Macaca mulatta: one gene and its partners. The protein of the gene in region 1 purifies or fractionates together with the protein of each later gene. This does not show direct contact. Links are inferred from orthologs where the notes say so. Each region holds a gene or a part of one and is shown in the gene's direction. Other genes may lie near its edges.

Region 1 (7,148 bases):
ATGGCTTATGCCTATAATCCCCACACTTTGGGAGACCGAGGTGGGTGGATCACTTGCAGTCAGGAGTTCAAGACCAACCTGTCCAACATGGTGAAACCCTGTCTCTACTAAAAATGCAAAAAAATTAGCCGGGCGTGGTGGTGTGCGTCTGTAATCCCAGCTACTCAGCAGGCTGAGGCAGAAGAATTGCTTGAGCCCAGGAAACTGAGGCTGCAATGAGCCAAGATCACGCCACTGCACCCCAGCCTGGGTAACAAAAGGAGATTCCATCTCAAAACAAAAAAGGACTTCTAAACTCTCTTTTTAAAATTGTTTAGACATTGCTCTGTCACCCAGGCTAAAGTGCAGTGGCGTGATCATAGCTCACTGCAACCTTGAACTCCTGGATGCAAGTGATCCTCCCACCCAAGCCTTCCGAGTAGCTGGGACTATAGGTACACACCACCATGCCGTGATACATTTTTTATTTTTAGTAGAAATGAGATCTTGTCATGTTACCCAGGCTGGTCTCTAGCGCACCTGGCCTCAAGTGATCCTCCTGCCTCAGCCTCCCAGAGTGCTGGGATTATAGGCATGAGCCTCCACACCTGGGGTATTTGCCGGTCTTGATGACCAAAATTGTTTGTATCCTGTCAATTCAGAGGTATCCTTTGAATTGTATCTTTGATAGCATTGAATCTGTGACTTTTGCTGAGTATAGCCTTTAACTTGGATGAACGTAATCTTTATCTTCATCCCAAATGCCAACCAAACCATGTCACAGCTCCTGAAAGGCCTCTCTGCCTTTGGTCCTTTGGTTGTTCCTTCTCGCCCAGTTCAGTCCTTCTGCCTGTTCCTCCCTGCCTGTCCAGTTTTACCTTTTTTTTTGAGACAGAGTCTTGCTATTGTCACCCAGGCTGGAGTGCAGTGGTGTGATTTTGTCTCACTGCAACCTCTGCCTCCTGGGTGCAAGAAGTTATCCTGCCTCAGCCTCCTGAGTAGCTGGGATTACAGGCATGTGCCACCACGCCTGGCTAATTTTTTATTTTTAGTAGAGATGGGATTTTGCCTTGTTGGCCAGGCTGGTCTCGAACTCCTGACCTCAAGTGATCCACCCACCTCGACCTCCCAAAGTGCTGGGATTACAGCTGTGAGCCATCGTACCCGGCCAGTTTTACCAGTTCTTTAGGGCCTATCTGAAGGCCCAGCTCCTCCAGGAAACCTTTTCTTGACTTTGGCCTCATTCAGTTTGGTGTTTGCTCATGTTCTGTACATTCTGCCTTACACAGCTGGGGATTTCCTGTTTATGCTAATGCGTTTACAAAGTCCTTGAGAGCAGGGACTGTGCCTCTCTTGCTTCTCCAGTGCCCTGCACAGCCTACACACACTTGCCACTATGAGTGTTCAGTGGGTACTCATGGAATTAAACTGAATCAGATGTCAAGGAGTGTTATGGTCATTTCTGCCTCATCTCAGTCACCAAAACAAAACACACTTTAGAAGGTTCCATATAGGTTCGGTATCACACATTCTCAAGAAAATATTTTTCCTATTTTGAAGTCAGAAGAATCCCGTTTCACTTGATAACTGGCATAACAACTTTACGACTAATATTTTTTGCTTTTCTCCAACAGGCTGCATGTTAAATGGCCAAGAGGTGAGGCTTACTATTCACTATGAAAATGGGTTCACCATCTCCAGGGAAAACGGAGGCTCCAGCAGCATATTATACCGCTACCCCTTTGAAAGGCTGAAGATGTCTGCGGATGATGGCATCCGAAATCTATACTTGGATTTTGGTGGTCCCGAGGGAGAACTGGTAAGAGTGTTTCTGATTTTGGTGGTCCCGAGGGAGAACTGGTAGGAGTGTTTCTGAAACACATTTTTTTCTAATAGATGTTCTCTTTCCTTCTCATTACTTCTTACCCCTTATATACAAAATCATGGACTGACATTCCATTTAGAACCATGAAATTTTTAATTAAATTTTTTTTTTTTTTAAGATGGGGTCTGTGTCGCCCAGGCTGGAGTGTAGTGGTGCGATCATAGCTCCCTGCAGCCTATACCTCCTGGGCTGAAGTGATCCTCCTGCCTCAGCCTCCTGAGTAACTGGAACTGGACTATAGGCGTGTGCCACCATGCCTGGCCAATTTTTGTATTTTTTGTAGAGATGAGGTCTCGCTTTGCTGCCCAGGATGGTCTTGAACTCCTGTCTTCAAGTGATCTTCCCATCTTGGCCTCCCGAGGTGTTGGGATTACAGATGTGAGCCACTGTATCTGCTGTTCTCAGTTTTCCAGATGACATTGGATGTTGGTTTTTGTTATCATTTTTCTTTTTTATTTTTTTTTGAGACGGAGTCTCGCTTTGTCACCCAGGCTGGAGTGCAGTGGCACCATCTCAGCTCACTGCAACCTCTGCCTCCCTGGTTCAAGTGATTCTCCTGCCTCAGCCTCCTGAGCAGCTGAGATTACATGCATGTGCCACCACACCTGGCTAATTTTTCTTTTTTTTTTAGTAGAGATGGGGTTTCACCATGTTAGCCAGGATGGTCCCGATCTCCTGACCTCATGATCCGCCTGCCTTGGCCTCCCAAAGTGCTGGGATTACGGGCGTGAGCCACCGCGCCTGGCCTTAGATTTTAAATCCTCTACTATTTAGATCTTCCTACCAGGCATGGTGGAACCCAGTACACCACCAGTTGTCTCCTAATTGGGGATGTGAAACCTCACACCAGTATTATGACATGGAATAACCTTACTCCATAGTGCACTTTTGCCTGTGGCTTTAAGTTCCCAAGAGTTTCCATAGCTCTGGCATATTCTTTACCTACCTTAAAAGTAAATTTATTTTGCATCTTCATGTATTCAGTTGTCTGTATATGGCAGTGAGGTAGTGATACTTAGTGTCCTTTCTCCACAGACCATGGACCTGCACTCTTGTCCGAAGCCGATTGTATTTGTGTTGCACACATTCTTATCGGCCAAAGTCACTCGTATGGGACTGCTTGTATGAGCAACAAAAAATCAGAAAAGAGCCTTGACTGTCACAAGAAATATTTCCACCTCAAAAAAAAAAAAAAAAAAAAAGCACAAAAAGAAAACTCTTTGCTCTCTCCTTCAGCACAGTGCCTTCCCAAGGACCTGCAAATCACTGCTGAACCATAACCGTGTTTAAAGAAGAGCCTGCCTTTCACAGTCTACCTTGGCCAGATATTCTAGGACTCGAAAAGGCTCCAAAATGAAGCTGTTGATTTATTTTCGTTTCATAATACGGTTTATGAGTAATTAGGTTTGTTTCTCCTGCCAAAAAGAATGGCTCATTGTTTTCCTTTTTAGACATAATCAAATACCCAAGCATTGTTTTCTTTTTCTTCTCCCTGTAGGATTTGTGTTATGCCTAGCCTTGATCTCTTGTTCAGAACAATTGTCCCTTCCCGGGTGCTAGCTTGCAGCAGCCTGTTGCTTCGTGAGCATTCCAGATAGGTTGTATGTCTTAGAATTTACTGTCCTCACTAGCTCCTTCCACCATAGGAAGTCCTTGAGTTGTATCACCAAAGGGATGTTCCATTTGCCCTGGCTCTCTCTCTATCTCAGCCTGGCCATCACTTCCCACCTTATCCCAAGCTTTGCCACTCTTAAGTGCTGTCTCTAGGACTTAGGACTTGCAAATTTGATTTGCCTTGCCTTTCACTTCCTTTCTAGTGGTGACTGAGTTGAAAAGCAAGTTGGAAGCCACTTTGCTTTGAAAGAAAAGTTTTGCTTGGTTTAGGTTTTTCCATTTTATTTTTGGTGGTAGCCAGAGGATATTGTGAGATTTATTTTAAATGAAAATCCTCTTCCTAGGTTAAGCCATTTTTTTAATTGCTTACCAAATGTGCCTTTGGTTAGGGTTAGTGGAGCTTTATTAGTCACTATTTGAATAACTGGAAATCACTGCCATTTCAAGGAGATCACCTATCCTAGTTTTGAGGAATAGTCTTTGAGGTGGGTTTCCTTAATGGCATCTCTTCTAGTAGGCAGATCTCTTTGAGCAAGATAAATCCTGAAGAGCCAGCCTGCTTGCAGAGTAGACTTGGTGGGTGAAGCCAGCTCTTCCGCACAAGCGTCATGTCGAGTTGTTTTGGGGCTGCCCAAAAACAACGGGATGCAGCATCTCAGCTGTGGCCTGGCCCTTTGTGGCAGCAGTGGCATGGACAAGGAACTGCTAATGGAAGACTTAGTGTTGGCTTCACAGCACACCCTACAGGGGGCAGGGTGATGAGACTGTGGAACAGCTGCCTCCTTTTGGTTAAGCATTGCCAGATGTCATCATTAGGACACAGTAGCAGCAAAAATACTGATGTTGTAGTGTTAGAAAATCACACTCAGCTTGTTTTTCCTAATTTTGAAGGAGGCATATATCTGCAAACATTTAAAATGGTATAATATCAATATAAAACGTCAAAATTAGCGTAGTCCCTGGATCTCAAAGAATAGGTAATATTGACTTGGATATTCTTTATGCTCTCTGAAGAAAGGTCTAGGGAAAGTTCTTGTTTGCTTGATCGATCAAGAGTGCCATAGAAGAATGTGAGTGCTGTGGTGGGTGGAGGAGGATGTCGCTTCAGATGGGGCAGGCACAGGGGGAGAAAAGAAGAGAAAAATACAGCTGTGTGTGCAAAATGAGCTATTTGGTTTCAGTGCAGCCTGACCGGTGGGAGGACCCATGAGCAGAGCGAGTTCTAGGTTAACATTGTAACTCCACTGTCCTCCTTCACCCGGAAGTCAGCCCCACTTCCTCATTACAGTGAAACCAACAGTATGCAGAGGTTGGGAAGACATGCCTGTTCTTCCCCCAGCTTCATGTAATTGTCGAAGTTCCAAAAATGAATTATCTGAACGGCTTAAAACTGGAAATTAAAATCTAGACAAGAATATGTCTTTCAAAAGCTCTTTATATTTTGAAAATTCATAAACCTAAGATTGGCTCCATCTCAGATAAATTTTCTTTTCTTTTTTTTCTTTTTTTTTTGAGATGGAGTCTCGTTCTGTCTCCCAGGCTGGAGTGCAGTGGCATGATCTCGGCTCACTGCAACCTCTACCTCCTAGGTTCAAGTGATTCTCCTGAGTAGCTGGGATTATAGCCGCCCACCACCACACCCGCCTAATTTTTGTATTTTTAGTAGAGGCAGGGTTTTACCATGTTGGCTAGGCTGGTCTTGAACCCCCAACCTCAAGTGATCCGCCTGCCTTGGCCTCCCAAAGTGCTGGGACTATAGGTGTGAGCCACCGTACCTGGCCCACAATAAATTTTCATTTCAGGGAAGGAAAAAAATCTCTTGAAGGTCCAGAAATGATTTCTGGAATCAGAATTTCAATATGTAATACCCTCAGGTAGGCAATCTTAAATCCTCTATGCAGTGAGAGCATTATTAATATGAGATGTTGAATGATGCCTTTACAGACTTCAGCAGCAAAGCCATTTGGTTGAGGTTTTCTGTGTTAATGTGAAAGGCTAAGCCACTGAGATTTGCAGGGCAGCTTCTGAGCCACCCTGCTCGTTGGTTATATGAAGATGTAAAATAGGTGGAATTAAAGTGTGAGCAGGAAAGGCAAGGCATGTGCATTTTCACTCATTTTGGTCAAGGTTAAACTGACATGTATAGCACTGAGGTCTGTAGGGTTCTTAATAATATCTTTTGAGTCTTGGTGTGAAATGAAAGAATGGGAGGTTTCCTTTGTCCATTAGCAGCCCCAAGAACCAGAGCCCTTTTGCTGCTTGTCTTACATACTTAAGAGCTCTCCAATCATGATGACCAAGGTTGTTCTTCAATCAAATGTGTTTGTGGGATTTTCAATCCACAAATGAAGTGCTCTCTAATGAATGGGACACCATGATAAATATGTATTTATATTTAGATGCCAAATTAAATATATGGCAAATTATTTCCAAATGATAACTAAAAATGGGCATTTTCAATATTCTACCTTTTTTATAGAACCAGCTCACTTTTCATTTCTTTTTCATTTTTAATTAAGAAAATTGTTGAGGATGTGGTAGGTTCCAGTGTGTGGAATGGAAAGGAAACTGCAGAATAGTGTCCGCTCCCCATTCAGAGGGACTGCTTCCTGTGCCCCCAGACCCGAGGCTTCGACAGCTTCTCCACATTCCACACAGATGCCTAGGAGCAGCCAGCTGGTATATGAAAAGGCTCCCACCTTTTCTTCTAAAACTTCTCTCCTTTCTCTCCATAAAAAGAAAAGGAAAGGAATAAAAGAAAAACATTCAGTTTTTCTTTTTCTGAAAAAGGTAAGTCCTTTCCTGAAGTCATCAAATGAAACATTATCTGGAAATTAGTATCTAATGTCTTATATGAAGAAATACTTAAATGTATGTTCATATAGTATTTATTAGATAGTTGTAACTGTAAACTCACCTTCCTAGTAGATAAGAGTTTCAGGTTAAATACTGGAACATATATAGGCAGTGAAAAATACTACTTTAAATGTCATTCACCTATTTTAAACCCATTTTAGCACATTTTAGGCCAAAGAAGGTCTGATAGTGCCTGTTTTTATGTTCTCTACTCTCACAAACTTTGTTACTGAAAATTATTGCATGGCAGGAGAGATTGGATTATTTATTTCTTATATTTTTATAAGAAAAAATCTTTCTAAACAACAAATACCTAACATTATTACTGATTGTTTTCCTAATTTATCCTCCTAAGTTGAATGGTAACAAAGCTTTTCCAGCTGAATGAATGCACTTAGCTGATAAAACAGAATTTGTTCTTTTTTTATCCTTCTTCTTTTTTTTGTGAGACAGGTTCTCACTCTGTCACCCAGGCTGGAGTGCAGTGGTATGATCATAGCTGACTGCAGCCTCAACCTTCTGGGCTCAAATGATCCTTTCGCCTCAGCCTCCTGAGTAGCTGGGACCACAGGTGTGTGCCACCACACCTGGCTAATTTTTATGGGTTTTTTTTGTTTTGTTTGTTTTGGTTTTTGTAGAGACAGGTTTTCGCCATGTTGCCCAGGCTGATCTTGAACTCTTGTGCTCAAGCAATCCTCCTGCCTCGGCCTCACAAAGTGCTGGGATTACAGATGTGAGCCACTGCACCTGGCCCCAGAAATTACACATAAAAAAAAATTTAAGCTGTGTGGAATCTGGACAAGGCTATGTTTCT
Region 2 (7,248 bases), on another chromosome or scaffold:
GAATTTCTGTATGACTAAATATCACACTGGGAACTGGGAGATCTAAGTACAGATTAGGAAAAGAAGTCCTGAGCTTTGTGCTGATTGGCAGACCTCGAACCACTCAAAGCTTGTGGCCAGGGAGTGCCAAGAGCTGATTAAATTAGGCTTATGGCTGTAGGAAGGGGGCTGGATGTGTTAGTTTAATTAATCAGAGCCCACCTCTCCAGTTAAGATGGTTACAATCTCACCTCAAGCTCAGAGCTGCTACCCTATGGTGGGGGAGAGGGGTGGGATGGTTTTTGGGAGAGCAACCACCGCATTCTTCCATCTGTAAATGAGGGAGGCTCTTTCCAGATCCAAACCAACTGTGATCCCATGAGCAGAGCGCTTACTTATTTTTGCAATCGTCTCTCTCTTTTATTCACCTGCACTTTCTTTTCTGTTTTACTTTATAATTGTCCTTTTCTACCTCGGAGCATAGGTCCCTGTGGAAGATAAGAAACCCCAAAATGAAGTCGACAAGTGTTGGTATAGCTCAGTCTTGGGCTGGGGAAAAGAAGTGAAGCTGACAAGGTGACTTGAGAGGGTCCTTGTGCACTTCAGGGCAGAATGGAGTGACGCCTTATTCATTAGACATGAGCTGGACATGCCAACTTGTGGTGAGTTACTCTTGGACCCTTAAAGGAGGCAATGTTTCTCAAGTTCTAAAGCCCCCATCTCTAGAGAATGCACAAGCTCTTTGAGAAAGGAGGAAAACCGTGTGCAATTACACTTGTCCTCTGGTCTGCTTTTTTTTTTTTTTTTTTTTTAAAGGTTTAGTACCCAAATCCTTAGCAGGCAAATCTCTCAGCCTTTTGAGGGAGTGGTCAAGGGTTTGCACGAAACGTTTCTGAAGAGAAAATAGGCTGTGAGTCTCCACATCACCCCCTCCACTTTGGTATTAATAAATACTTTTTTAAAAAAATTACCACACTGAGAAATTTACCAGACGATTTCTGGAAACTGACTTATGAACTAATTGGGCACTTTTGCTATGCGGAGGAACAAAGACTCTATTGGTCTTCAACTGAGGCATATACCTGTCTGATGGCGTTGGCTCATTCCGCACATGCTCAGTTGAACAGAAATCTTCATATTGAATGCAACCTAGCACAGCGGCAACACCCAGAACCTCACTCCCTGGCTGCTCCTGTGCCTGCACTGCCTCTAGTTGCATTTTGTTCCTGACAAGTCTAACATGTATAGGGAGTATACAGAGCAGTGTAGGTGCTGGGAGTTTGAGGGCAATATACAAAGGAGCTTAAAGTCGCGGTTTGTCCCTGTCTTCCTGGCTTCTCTCTAGGTTGGTCTCTAGTGAGGGTAGGCGCTGGATAGGTATTTGTTGAGTTTGGGGCAGAACGTGGGAGAAGCTGTCTCTATAGATGACCGTTTGCTGTCGCACACCTTCCTAGGCAGTTTTTGTTTAGTCCTTTTCTCGGACGACCTCCCCTTGCCCCCAGCCCTCATCTTCATTAAGGAATGACAGGGTAGCACTAAAAGCATCCGCTGCCAAGCACGGATTCAGTGACAACCTCTCTCCACCTCTCTTTTAGCTTTCTCATTCATTAGCACCCTATCCCTGCCTCTTTTCCCAGCAAAAAGCTGGGAAAGGCTCCCTGCGATTACAAAAGAAGGAAAGGGGAGCGGCCAGAGTTTCGAGCCTCTTGCGGGACAACGAGCGTACAGCCGTGGACCTTTTGTCTCCAGCCCCTTTCGCGGCTTGGTCGCCGCTAGGCGCGGAGGCGACGACCCCAACCAGCCCCGCCTCGGCAGCTGCAGCCGGCGCGCCCCGCTCAACCCCCCGCGCCCTCTAGAATCCCGGTGCCCGCCCGTTTGCCGTGACGCGGCCCGCGCCGCGCGCATGCGCCGCTCAGCCCGCTCCCCTTTCCCTGGGCCACCGCCTCCCGACGGGCTAGAGTGGGCGGAGTCTGTGGTTCTGGAAGCCGCGCCGCCGACGGGGGAGGAGGGCGTGTCTGCGCGAGGCGGGTGCGCGGGGCTGGCTAGCCGGTCGGCTGCTGAGGCGGAGGGGCGGAGCAGAAGGCGGCGGCCGCGGCTCCCGCCCGCACAGAGCGCCAGTCCCGCGAAGCCCCCTCCCACTCCCGGGCGGGCGGTGGCGGCTGCGGGAGGAGGAGAAGTAGGAGGGAGCGTCTCTGCCACCGCCTCCTGGTCCCCAGCGCCGATCCGCCGCCGCCACCTCCCTCCGCGGCGATCCTCCCTCCATGGTCCTGCCGCGGCCCCCTCTATAGCCCGAGCTGCTCCGCGACGCGACGGAGCCGGCCTCGGACAGAGGGAGCGGTCGCGGCCTCGCGGCCCGCGCGGGCTGACGAGCGGAGAGCGCGACGCCGCGCGGTCCCCGAGGATCCGCACGCCGGGCAGCGCGGCCCGAGCAGCGCGAGGAGCAGCGGGCGGGCGGGCGGCGCCGGGCCCGGGCCGCCCTCGCTCCCACGCCCCGGCCCCGCCGCCCGCGCCGGGGCGGTCGCCTGCAGAGGAAGGCGCCGCAGTCTCTGGGCCTCGCGGCACCACTCGAGCGTCCTCGGCACCGAGGGCTCGCGGGTCCTGAGGGGAGGAGGCGATCCCGGGGCTGGGCACTGAGCTCTTGGGCGCCCCCACCCCCGTTTTCGAAGCCCTCCACGCTGCGGCCGCTATCCCCTCCGGACCATGGCCGACGACGACGTGCTGTTCGAGGATGTGTACGAGCTGTGCGAGGTGATCGGAAAGTGAGTCTCCACGCGAGGGAGCGGGAGTGTGGAAAAATGCATTTCAGTGATGCCCCGGTCTTCCCGCACCCGCTCCGGGCCTGCCCCCTGCCCTCTCTCCTTCCCCTCTTCCCCTCTTCCCCTCTCGTCCTTCTCATCTTGGAGTATTTATAGACGTGTACCTGGAGCTCCTGCCAGGCGGGGGCCTGGGGGTTCTCAGCGGTCCATTGAGGCCACCGAGCCGAGGCTGGCCACCCCGTAAGGCGTGGGGCCGGCTGCCTGCATTTTATCTGACGGTTGCACAGGGACGTGGCACAGCCGATTTTATAGTTGCTTCAGTTGGGGTTTTTGTTACCTTGCATGTGCCATAGACCATTTTTGAAAAGAGCAGCTTGCATTTCCTTTGCTTGTGTGGTGAGAGAGAGAGTGAGTCCAGGGTTTTAATTGTGGGGTGTGTGTCTATTGTGCGGGATATTAGACAGATGCCTTTGTGTACACCCCATGCCCGGATTGGAGGGGATCATTTAAGACCGGGTGCGTTCAGTTTCAGCACATTCCCTCCTGGTGTACATGAACGTGGAAAGAGTTGGGGGCATTCGAATTTTTAATGCTTCGTTATGCAATGACTGTTCAATCAGTGCTCGAGGCTCCCCTCGACTGTTGTTGGGATGGTGGTTAGCGTGGTAGAGCCGTCTGCTTTGAGTCACCGGGCTGGTCTAGAATATAGAACTGACAGTCCAAATGCTCATCCTTTCATCTGTGTTGTATAATTACGCTGGGGAAAAGCAGGGAATCAGATTAATCACAGTGCTGATTGAGAATTAAATCTGCAGTTCCTCATCTAATTGTCCATTCCTTAAATCTATTTTGAATAGTTTCCTTTTCATTCTTGTCAAACAGTATTCCAAGTGCACAATCCTGCTAATTTGCTTGTGAAGGAAATGCTGGCAATCTGAAGTTGATTTCCTAACACAGCGTGTATTCTGTGGCTTTAGAAGTTGAGGAGATAAGATTTAAGAGCAAATTTTTGCTTAATAAGGATCGCTAGAGCTACCATTGAAATATCTTACCTCTTTTTTTTTTTTTTTTTTTTGGAAGCGGTGCTTTATTGTCTATTTTAAGGTCCACAGTTGGGAAATGAAACCAAGACCTTAGAGCAGTTGGCCCTATCTCTTTTAAGTTGTCTGCAGTACACGATTTCAATTTGAGTGCTAATTTGTTTCCTTTTCTTTCCATATTGAGGTATTACAGTGTTGCCTCACATGGTGAAATTGTGGGTAGAGCTTGCTACACACTTTACTCAGACCCAATTGATATGAGGACATGTTACTCCTTGCCCTATTGTTACATGACCAGCCAGACTGTTAAAAGGAAAGTATCCAAATGTGTCCTGTTAAAGTGGTTGTGAAGTGTTCTAGAACAGCACTGTCCAAAAGATATATTATGAGCCACATTTGTAATTTAAAATTTTCTAGTAGCCACATTTAATAAAAACATACAGGTGCAATTAATTTTACTAAAATATTTTATTTAACCCTGTAGATCCAAACTTAACACTTAAACATGTAATCAGTATGAAAAAATATTAATGAAGTATTTTACATCTTTTATGCTAAGTCTTTGAAATCCCAATGTGTATTTTACACTAACAGCACATCTCAATTCTGACACTAAGCTACATTTCTGATAAAAATCAGAAATACTTAATCTGTATTTAGGTTTCATAAAATGTGCATTTACAAAAGTAGATTCACATACCCAAGTTACCCAATATACATACCCAATATACATAAAAGTTTTCCAATAACTGAATCAAGTACGTTTTTCTAAATTTAAATTTTAATTAATTAAAATTAAATAAAATTCAAAATTCAGTTTCCCAGTTGGACCAGCCACGTTTCAGGTGCCTAGTAGCCACATGTGAATAGCACAGTTCTAGAGAGAAAAATGTATCAAAAATCTCCTTGGTTTCCTCATTCTTAGCAGCACCCAGTGAAGATAAATTAGGTGTTTCCCAAGAGCCTCCAAATGACCGTATGTGTGGGTGAATTACGTTTGTTGCATCTTAGTTATAGCTGATGTAAACGAACTAACAAAGTCATAATTGGAAAATGTGAGATTAAAATGTTAATTATATTGTGAAGATGGAAAATAGCCATCACTGAATCAGTTTTGGTAACCAGTTCTGATTCCTTAAGGTCTGGAAGGGCGATGATGTGATCTCTTTGGATATCAAAAAGAAATGGTCAGAATCACATTAACACAGTCAGTATTCCGCTGATTTGTAATTGATAGAATATTTTCAGGAAACACCCCTGGGAGAAGAAAATTCATCTTTTCTGGCTGTTTCAGAGCTGCATAAAGAGGGGCAGCAAGCTAATTTTGAGGTGATAGGTACTCTGTGGCTACCTTAACTACTATGAACTGTGAAATCTCATTCATATTTGAAACCAATTCAAATATGTGCCAATTATAAAATGCCATTACGTGAAATAATGAATTCAAGCTAGCCTTATTGTTAAATAATGTAATAATAGTGTTCCTCAACCTGAGTAAAGGTTGAAGGTTTCTCCAGTAAATTGCCTTAGTATATATTGATCTGGAAATTGAAATTAGCTTGAGATTTTCTTGCAGGGACCTTGACAGCATACATTTTTAACTTAGAATTTGTTCACCTCTGAATTTGAACAGAAAGCCCTTGAAGATGTTCGCATGTGCTGAAAACCTTTTTATTGATTTCTATTCAAGTTCTATGGAATTTTGTTTTCTTTTTCACCAAATTAGTATCACAAGTTGTTTTTCACCACTAGATCTTAATAGGTTTAAATTTTTACTAAGGTACTTTAAAATAGATTTCACTTTTCAAGACTAATTGACCTCCCACTCACTCCTCTACCTACGCAACCACCTACTCACTTACCTCTGTGTACTTGGCCTTAATTGATGGCATAAATGAAAGTTCTCGTCTAATTTAGACCCTTCAGTGTGCTTTTTTTTCCCGTTGGTTGAGAAAGACAACTTCTAGAGTTAATGAGGTTTTGAAATATAAGATCATTATTTGGAATATGTTTTCTTTCCAGTGGCTGCAGCCTTTACCCTTGTTAAAGCTGTCTTTGAGGGAACATGTGCCCAATTTGTTACAAATATTGGAAGGATGTCGTTTCCCTTTTTAAAAATTAAAACTCTTTTCCCTGTGTTTCTCATTTTTGAAAATCTTGCAGAAACTCCTTTGAATGCTTGTTGGTTCTATAACATTTTCTACGTAACTATCTTTCAAATGACTGAAACAAATCTCCAATAATACGACCTTATCGTAGTCCCAAAACTTCTTGTCTTAGCAAATGTAGCAATTACTGGAAAGGAAAGGCGTTATGCAAATAAGGTTAATGACTAATTTTTATGTCATGATCATTTACTGTATCTTTTACAAGTATAAGTAAGTGTACAACCGGTAATACTACATGAAGGAAATTTAAGACAATTCATCCAAATTAAAACATAGAAAAATGCCTACTTTCTTGGTACAGCAGTGTCTATGAAAGAGAATAACAAAATACACACCATTTTTACCTTGTGTTGGTACCTTTGCCGTATTATTTAGTAACCTGTAGCTTCTGACTTTCCTGCTCTGATAGGACATACACTAAAATTGGAATGATGCAGCATGACCCTTGCTTAAGGATGACATGCAACTGTGTGAGGCATGCTGTATTTGCTTACACCTCGAGAGCACTTATATTTAATTACAGTTACTTATTTATGGATCTCTCTAGTTCACTAATAAGGAGCTTCTTGAGGGCAGGGAATGTTTCTTACACATCTTTCCCCATTAACACAGTGCTTGCAATGTAACAGCCTTTCATTAGCTGTGGAATGAATTGAGTAGTTTTAATAAAATCTCATTAAAAGGCAAAAAAGCATGTTTATCAACCTCAGAGCAATTATTGTCCCAAGAACCTGCATTAAAGTAGTGGTTCTCCACCTGGCTGCATATTAGAATCATCAGGGGAGCTTTTAAGAAAGATCAATGCCAGAGCCCTGTGTCAAAGCAGTGAAATCCGAGTTTCTGGGAGTGGGTCCTGGTCACTGATATTTTTTAAAGCTCTCTGTGTGATTCTAATGTGCAGCTCTGATGGGGAGTCATTGGCTTAAAACTTAGATTATGTATGTAATATTTTGGGATTGGCTTTTCAGAGGCTTGCAATTCTTACAAAGTGGAATAAACTCTTTTTGGAAGGTATCGAATGAAGCTAAATGGCTAAAACATGGATTTTATCTTCTATGCACTTGTGTTTCTCAGCCTTATTGTGTAAGAATTTAGTTTTAGCTTGTGTTTGGCTTTGATTTCTTTGGCCTTTTAAGATCCACATTGATTTATGACACTCATCTAATGCTAACATGGCGATTGTCTGATGTTTGGAACAACACAGAACAAGGATTGCTTCAATAACAGTTGATGATGGTTTTCCACTATAATGGCTTGATTTAATATTAAGAAATTTATCAGTTTAGTATGGATTGTGTTTGTACA
Region 3 (7,248 bases), on another chromosome or scaffold:
ACCTTCAGATAAACTGATTTTAGCTTCTGATTTTCCTCACCATCAAGTATTTACAGAAACTCCAAGGAAGCCTTTGCACTTGTGTGTGTGCAATGGTTTGCTTTTCCTCCATAGCATCTAGTTTGGAAGTTATATTGGCTATTACAGACCTTATTTGCTCCTGAGTTATCATGGCATTTCTACTTAGCTTAATACGAATGTTTTAGGAGTTTCCCACCATGGAAAGTTCTGTTTGACATATGAAAGTTCAATGGTCAGTTTCATAGTCAGCTCTAGGGCAAGAAATAAATAAAACAATGGATTACAGAGTATAGCCTTGCGACACGGGAAATTTTTTAGTAGATGGATGAGTCATATTATTAATACATGCTGCAAGGCCCGAGGTCTTACATCAAAAAATAAGGAAAAAAGTTTTTAATTTTTTAAAGTTAATAGCCTTCTGATATTTTCTTTGTTATATTTTGTATAGTTTTTGTTCTGTTTAGTTTTGGGGGGATCAAAAAAATAAATACTGAAATAGAATGTTTTAGGAAAAAGGTAATTAACATCATTGTACATGAATTTGCTCTAACACAGTAAGGTCTGAAAAAAAAAAAAAGATTTTCCCTTTGATGTAGACTTGTTTCAATAATTACTATTCTCCCAGTACTGCACTTTTGAGAGGGAAGGAGAAATTGTTGCTAGTGTCTAGATCTTGACTTGTCTTCCTTGGCTACCTTCAAAATTTGAGATCCTGAATCTTAAATCACATCTGGTCTAAAAATTCTTCCTATAAACAGTTATGACTATTTACTGACAAAAGGCTGCTTTTATTGTGCCTGTTTCTATTTCAGAGGAAGACACATAGAGACAGGTGGAAAGAACTGATTTGTAAAGATTGAAATGTCATATTTACATTCAGAATTTCATTTCCTTACCAGTTTTCAGAAGAACCCTTTGGTAGAGGAAACAGGGCCAACTTCTTTCACAGCCTCTTACTGTAGATAGAAATATGAAGTCCAGCAATATTTAGCTGGTGTGAACCCAGACAGCTGTACCAGGAACAATGTTGAAAATCTTTGATTCCTATTGGAAAATAGCCACTGTTAAAGATGCACACCTTCAGGACCTCACTTCAGGATTGTAGCCAGTATCTGTTCTGAGTAGGTGGTGCCCACGCCTCCCTGGCTGTTTTGTGTTTTGAATATTTAGTCCTGATTCTAGAAATGAAGACATTTTTGGCCTATGGATAAAAGACGGGTTTCGATAGCCATTAAGGAAATGCAAATCAAACCACAATGAAATGTCACTTCATACCCAGTAGGATGGCGATAATAAAAAAGACAAATAATAACAAATATTGGTGAGGATGTGGAGAAATGGGTGTCCACATACACTGCTAGTGGGAATGTGAAAGGATGCAGCCACTTTGGAAAGCTGTCTGGCAGTTCTTCCAAAGGTTAAGCATAGGGTTGCCGTATGACTCAGCAGTTCTACTTCTAGGTACACACACACACACACACACACACACACACACACTCACCTCACACCCAAGAGACATGAAAATATATGCCCACATCAAAAACTTGTACACAAATGCTCATAGCAGAATTAACTGGTATTAGCTAAAAGATAAAAACAACCCAAATGTTCATGAACTGATAAACACATAATAAAATGTGGTCTATCGATACAATGGAATATTTTAAAAAGAAATGAAATACCCATACATCCTACAACACGCATGGACTTCAAAAACATCATGCTAAGTGAAATAAGCTAGTCACAAAAAACCATATACTGTACGATTTCTTTTATATGAAATGTACAGAATAGGTAACTCTACAGACTGGAAGTAGATTTCAGTGGTTGCGTTGGGCTAAGGGATGGGGATCGATTGTGGTGATGGTTGTAGAATTCTTTGAAAATACTAAAAATCATTAAGTTATACAGTGTAAATGAGCTAATTGTATAATATATAAATTATATATCAATAAAGTTTGATGCAAAAAGAGATTATTGGGTATTGACTATGTGACATCATCTGTATCACTGCGCTTTTCCTGGTCTCTCTGCCTGTGACAGTCCTAGAAGACAGGTGAAGTCAGCTTGTCCATTTTACAGATTTGGAGACTGAGGCTGAGAGAGAGAGAGACAGAGAAAGAGAGAGAGAGAGAGAGAGTATTTTGCCAGAGTTATACAGCTGCTAGTCTAAGGAAAATGTAGAGATGAAGAGGAGGAGCGAAGGGGAAGTACTGTCAGTTTCTCTTTTCTGTACCACAGTACAGTAGCAGGATGAGAGATGCCTTTGAATTCAAACCTGTGTGTATCCTGACAAAGATACATATTCTATGAAAAGTCTTTGATAATAAGTAGAAAATTTCTATTTCACAACAAGCAAGAAAAAGAATGAGAAAAGGACTAGAAAGTAGATAATGATCATATGAATAATGATTTTCCTTGCTTTTTGCATGTATGTGGAGGACACATGCAGAAGTGACAGCAGGAGTTCGAGACCAGCCTGACCAACATGGTGAGACAATGTCTCTACTAAAAATACAAAAAAAAAAAAAAAAAAGCGCCGGGGTAGTGATAGATGCCTGTAATCCCAGCTACTTGGGAGGCTGAGGCAGGAGAATCACCTGAACCCAGGAGGCGGAGGTTGCAGTGAGCCGAGATCATGCCATTGCACTCCAGCCTGGGTGACAAGAGTGGAAAAAAAAAACTATGATAATAAAGAGAGCAAAGCGACCATAAAAGAGAATAGGCTGGAAAAAATAGTCTAAATGGTGGTCTCTTATCTTATAGCTGCATGTGGTTAGGTTTATTTTTTCCATAATAGCAATTTCTAAGGGTTGAAGAAGAAATCCTTTTGAGTTTTACTTCCCCAAGGTATATATAACTACTACAGTGAAATAATAAGCCCAATTTATTCTTTGAAGTATAGTTAATATGTAACAAAACTCCTAAGGCCAGTTGTATACCCAGGGCAATCACCTTCTAACACCTTTATTTATGTACACAGTGGGTAGGAAGGTGGGTGGAGTGCCCCTTCCCAGCTGACACTGTCAAAACAGGAAGCAAAGTTATAATCTCTGTCACAGGAACATGAATAGAGGCCCTTAGTTGTGACTATTAAAAAAACAAAAAACCTACCTAAGGAGTTTTCACTGACTGCAAAGTGTAACTTCCTGTCTGGTGTTTAGAGGAGGTGGGGTTAGTTAGGTTTAGTCAGATCCTCTCATGAGAAAAATAAAAGCCACAAAAAAAAAAAAGACATCCCAGTGTGCAGTTCGAAGGCTGCTTTTGTTGTCCACTTCCTCCACATCTTTTTCCTTGTCATCTAAGCAGATGTAGGTGATGAGCAGCCCGGCAGCCACCACGTTTCACTGGAAAAAGTGCAGATTGGATTTGCCAGGGCATGTAGCTGTCGAGGCTTGCAAGAGATTACCAGGTAAGTTTGTCAACTTGTGCTACTCCCAGCCAGTGAGGTTTTCATAGGAAGCGCCTCTGAAGACAGGGCTCTCTCGTTCACTTTTGTTAAGTACCAAAGCTTAGGACCAGGCTGGTGACGGGAACAGACAGCCTGTCCTTCCTGCTGCCACATCTGTTGTGGACCCTGAAGAGTAGAGACTAACGCTGTCTGCTTTGCACTTCTCTTCAGGAGGTGATAATTCACTAGAGTTATTAGCCTCTTTGAAAGAAGATTTCCAGGATCCCTACATTTGTGGTAGCAAATGTGCTTCACTTTACCTCCCTGTAGATTTTCAAAATAGCTTACTCTGTGCTGACCGTTTACTGCCGTATAGAGAAGAAGCCTCCTGTGTGGTGTTGAGTATTGGTCGACCTCATCCCATATTGTATTTGATTTACTCTGTTGGCTAAAAAGGCATTTTACTTCTTGAAATATTTAGTTTCAACCTGAGAAAGGGGAGAATAAAACGTTTGTACTTTGGGGGATTGTATAAGCGCTGGGGTTTCTGTTTCAGTGCAGGCTTCTCTATGAGACGTGTATATGCGTAACTTTGTGTAGGGAAAGTGTCATGCACTTTTCTCTCACTGAAGTTTACTTCCGGGGTGACTTAGTTTTTCTGATCAGTTTAGATGTTCATATCTTGTTTAATGTATACATGTGTGTACTGGTTGTATGAACTTTTGGAGAGAAAAATAACCCCAAGTGATGTGTTTTATTTGATTATACACATCATGCATGAATGTTGTCACTATGAAAAACTTTGAGGCTGGTTGGTTTTCTTTTTTAATGTTTTTCTTTCTTGTGGAATTACTCTTTCCCTCTTAATGTTTTCCTTCTTAGCTTCAGCGAATGAGGTGGTAAGGGGTTGTAAGTGTTGTCTCTGTGGAGCAAATTCAAACCAAAATGATTGGAGCAGCTCATATTTTCTTAGTGAATTGGGTGTCTTGAACAAGTGGCATAGAAGATTGGTGTACTACAATTCTCATCATTAGCTGTTACTTCTTTCTTAAATAACCATGTGATCCCAACACAAAATCAAAATACCTCTCAGGGACCTAAATTAAAACTCCATGCGGGCCGGGCATGATGGCTTATACCTGTAATCCAAGCACTTTGGGAGGCTGAGACAGGGGGATCACTTGAGGCCTGGAGTTTGAGACCACCCTGGGCAACATAGGGAGATTCCATCTCTACAAAAAATTAAAAAATCAGTCAGTCATGGTGGCATGTGCCTGTGGTCCCAGCTATTTAGGAGACTGAGGTGGGAGGATAGCTTGAACATAGGAGTTTGAGACTGTGGTGAGCCATGATCATGCCACTGCATTCCAGTCTGGACAACAGAGGGATATCTTGTCTCAAAAGCCTGCATAGGAGCATCTATTGCAGACTTGTGACCTTTCGAAGATTTCCTTTGATTGTTACTAAATCCTCTCTCTTTCCCCGACATTGAGAGTCTCTGTAGTCAGCTAGTCTTCATCAAAGGGTCTTGCTACAAAGGGTCTGGGGTAACCATAGTGTTTGAAATCAGAAGACAACTAGAAGAAAAGTACAAACAAACCTTTAAATAATAAGCAGGCTTTGGCTGGGGGTGATGGCTCATGCCTGTAATCCCAGCACTTTGGGAGGCCAAGGCGGGCGGATCACCTGAGGTCAGGAGTTTTATACCAGCCTGGCCAACATGGTGAAACCTGGTCTCTACTAAAAATACAAAAATTAGTCGGGCGTGGTGGCGGGTGCCTGTAATCCCAGCTACTTGGGAGGCTGAGATGGGAGAATCACTTGAACCTGGGAGGCAGAAGTCGCAGTGAGCAGCGATCGCACCATTGCACTCCAGCCTGGGTGACAGAGTGAAACTCTGTTCAAAAAAAAAAAAAAGCAGGCTTTTAAATGAGTAGCTACAGTGTTAAATATATTTAATTGCTGTGCTGGTTGAGTTCTGGTTCATTTAGATAACGTTCTTTCCTGCTCTATGACCAATCAAAAGGCTTTTTAGGAAAATACCATTTTAAAAAATAAAATGTATTTCAGTGCATGTTATTTTAATAAAAATAGAAAACCAATGTGTACATGATTTCGAATTTCACAAGGGCCTAGATTGTCATCAGTTATTACTGAACTGAATTTTTTTTGTGTGTCCATAGTATAGACTCTTTAGTGATCTTCTTAGAAATAAGGACATTAAATTTAATGTTAAAAATAGTATTTTCAGCCAGGCACAATGGCTCATGCTTGTAATCCCAGCACTTTGGGAGGCTGAGGAGGGCAGATCACCTGAGGTCAGGAGTTCAGGCCAGGAGCCTGACCAATGTAGTGAAACATCGTCTCAACTAAAAATACAAAAATTAACTGGGCGTGGTGCTGGGTGCCTGAAATCCCAGCTACTTGGGAGGCTGAGGCAGGAGAATCGCCGGGACCTGGGAGGCAGAGGTTGCAGTGAGCTGAGATTGAGCCACTGCACTTCAGCCCGGGCAACAGGATGAGACTCTGTTTAAAGAAAAAAAAAGATCTCTATCTGTATCACTATCTCTATCACTCTCTCTAGCTTATCTGTCTGTCTGTCTATCTATCTATCTATCTATCTATCTATCTATCTATCTATCTATCATCTATCTCATCTCTATCTCTATCTCTATCATCTAGCTCTATCATTATTTTCACTACATGTTAACAATAATATCACTGAGATAAACCAAAGTTTTAAGAAAAGCTTGAAAATGTGAAATGAATAATTTGGAGGCATGATTGGACATTTAGGCATCTATGAAGGCCCAGATGACTCATGTCTGGAAATTGCTGCTGCTCAGGAAGCCACTCCTGGGAGCCCTGCTCGTCTTGCCATCCTTCCTGCTTTCTTGCCGGCCGACAGGACTCTGTGTCAGCTGTTTCCTTTTTAGATGGAAGGGTTAAAAGATTTACTACTTGGGTTCCCCATTAGAATGATCAACATGCTGGTGCCCCACAGTCAGAGATCGCGGCTTGATTGGACCGAGGCCCTGCTCTGCAGCTTGTCAAAAGCCAGCCAAGGGTGTCCAGTGTGGAGGGTACAGGGTAATGTATTCGTTCCCCACTAGACTGAAAGCTCCATGGGAGGGACTAGAGGCAGCTTCGTTACTGCTGCCCCCTAGCACCTGAATGTGTGCCTGATGTGCAGGAGAGGCTCAGTAGCTGCTTGTGGAATGAATGAATGAATGAGTTCCTTTGAGTAACAGGAAGTTGGAAGAAGATTGGACAGAGGCTTAGTTATGGTCTTTGCTGGTGTAAGAGAGTGTGCTATGTTATGCTGAACAGTGGTTGTCATCTTGGAAGACACTCTAGGAAATAGTCACAGGGGAACAGGTGGCTGATCTGGGGGAGTGCTGAACAGACCTCTCAGAAGAGACAAGGCAGGTTGAGAACTTTGGGAAAGAGAATTTCATCAGGGGCTGGGGGTGTGTGTGTGTGAATGTGGATGTGAGGCCAGGTGGGGACACTCCTGGGAGAATCTCCTGAACTGTGGCTCATTCTTTTTTTTGAGACAAAGTCTCGCTCTGTTGCGCAGCCTGCAGTGCAGTGACACAGTCTTAGCTCATTGCAGCCTTGACCTCGCAGGCTCAAGTGATCCTTCCGCCTCAGTCTCCCAAGTAACTGGGACTACAGGTATGTGCTCCCATACCTGGCTAATTTTTAATATTTTTTTTTTGTAGAGATGGGATCTCGCCATGTTGCCCAGGCTGGTCTTGAACTCCTGAGCTCAAGCGATCCTCCCCGCTCGGCCTCCCAAAATGCTGGAATTACAGGCCTGAGCCACCATGCCC

Evidence for each region.
Region 2: the proteins of SNTB2 (region 1) and CASK purify together in Homo sapiens (affinity purification with mass spectrometry; 3 studies listed by BioGRID and IntAct, with this or other methods). This does not show direct contact. The link is inferred for Macaca mulatta from reciprocal best matches to the Homo sapiens genes SNTB2 and CASK.
Region 3: the proteins of SNTB2 (region 1) and UTRN purify together in Homo sapiens (affinity purification with mass spectrometry; 4 studies listed by BioGRID and IntAct, with this or other methods). This does not show direct contact. The link is inferred for Macaca mulatta from reciprocal best matches to the Homo sapiens genes SNTB2 and UTRN.

The regions. Positions count from the first base shown.
Region 1 is NC_133425.1:64,915,598-64,922,745, forward strand, and holds the end of SNTB2 (beta-2-syntrophin), read left to right. Parts: intron 1-1,613; coding exon 1,614-1,798; coding exon of another isoform or gene 1,799-1,839; intron 1,840-2,899; coding exon 2,900-2,992; 3' UTR 2,993-4,890; downstream 4,891-7,148. UniProt on the Homo sapiens protein: Adapter protein that binds to and probably organizes the subcellular localization of a variety of membrane proteins. May link various receptors to the actin cytoskeleton and the dystrophin glycoprotein complex.
Region 2 is NC_133426.1:41,837,398-41,844,645, reverse strand, and holds the start of CASK (peripheral plasma membrane protein CASK), read left to right. Parts: upstream 1-2,637; 5' UTR 2,638-2,679; coding exon 2,680-2,738; intron 2,739-6,337; exon of another isoform or gene 6,338-6,433; intron 6,434-7,248. UniProt on the Homo sapiens protein: Multidomain scaffolding Mg(2+)-independent protein kinase that catalyzes the phosphotransfer from ATP to proteins such as NRXN1, and plays a role in synaptic transmembrane protein anchoring and ion channel trafficking.
Region 3 is NC_133409.1:49,599,543-49,606,790, forward strand, and holds the start of UTRN (utrophin), read left to right. Parts: upstream 1-3,314; 5' UTR 3,315-3,339; coding exon 3,340-3,433; intron 3,434-7,248.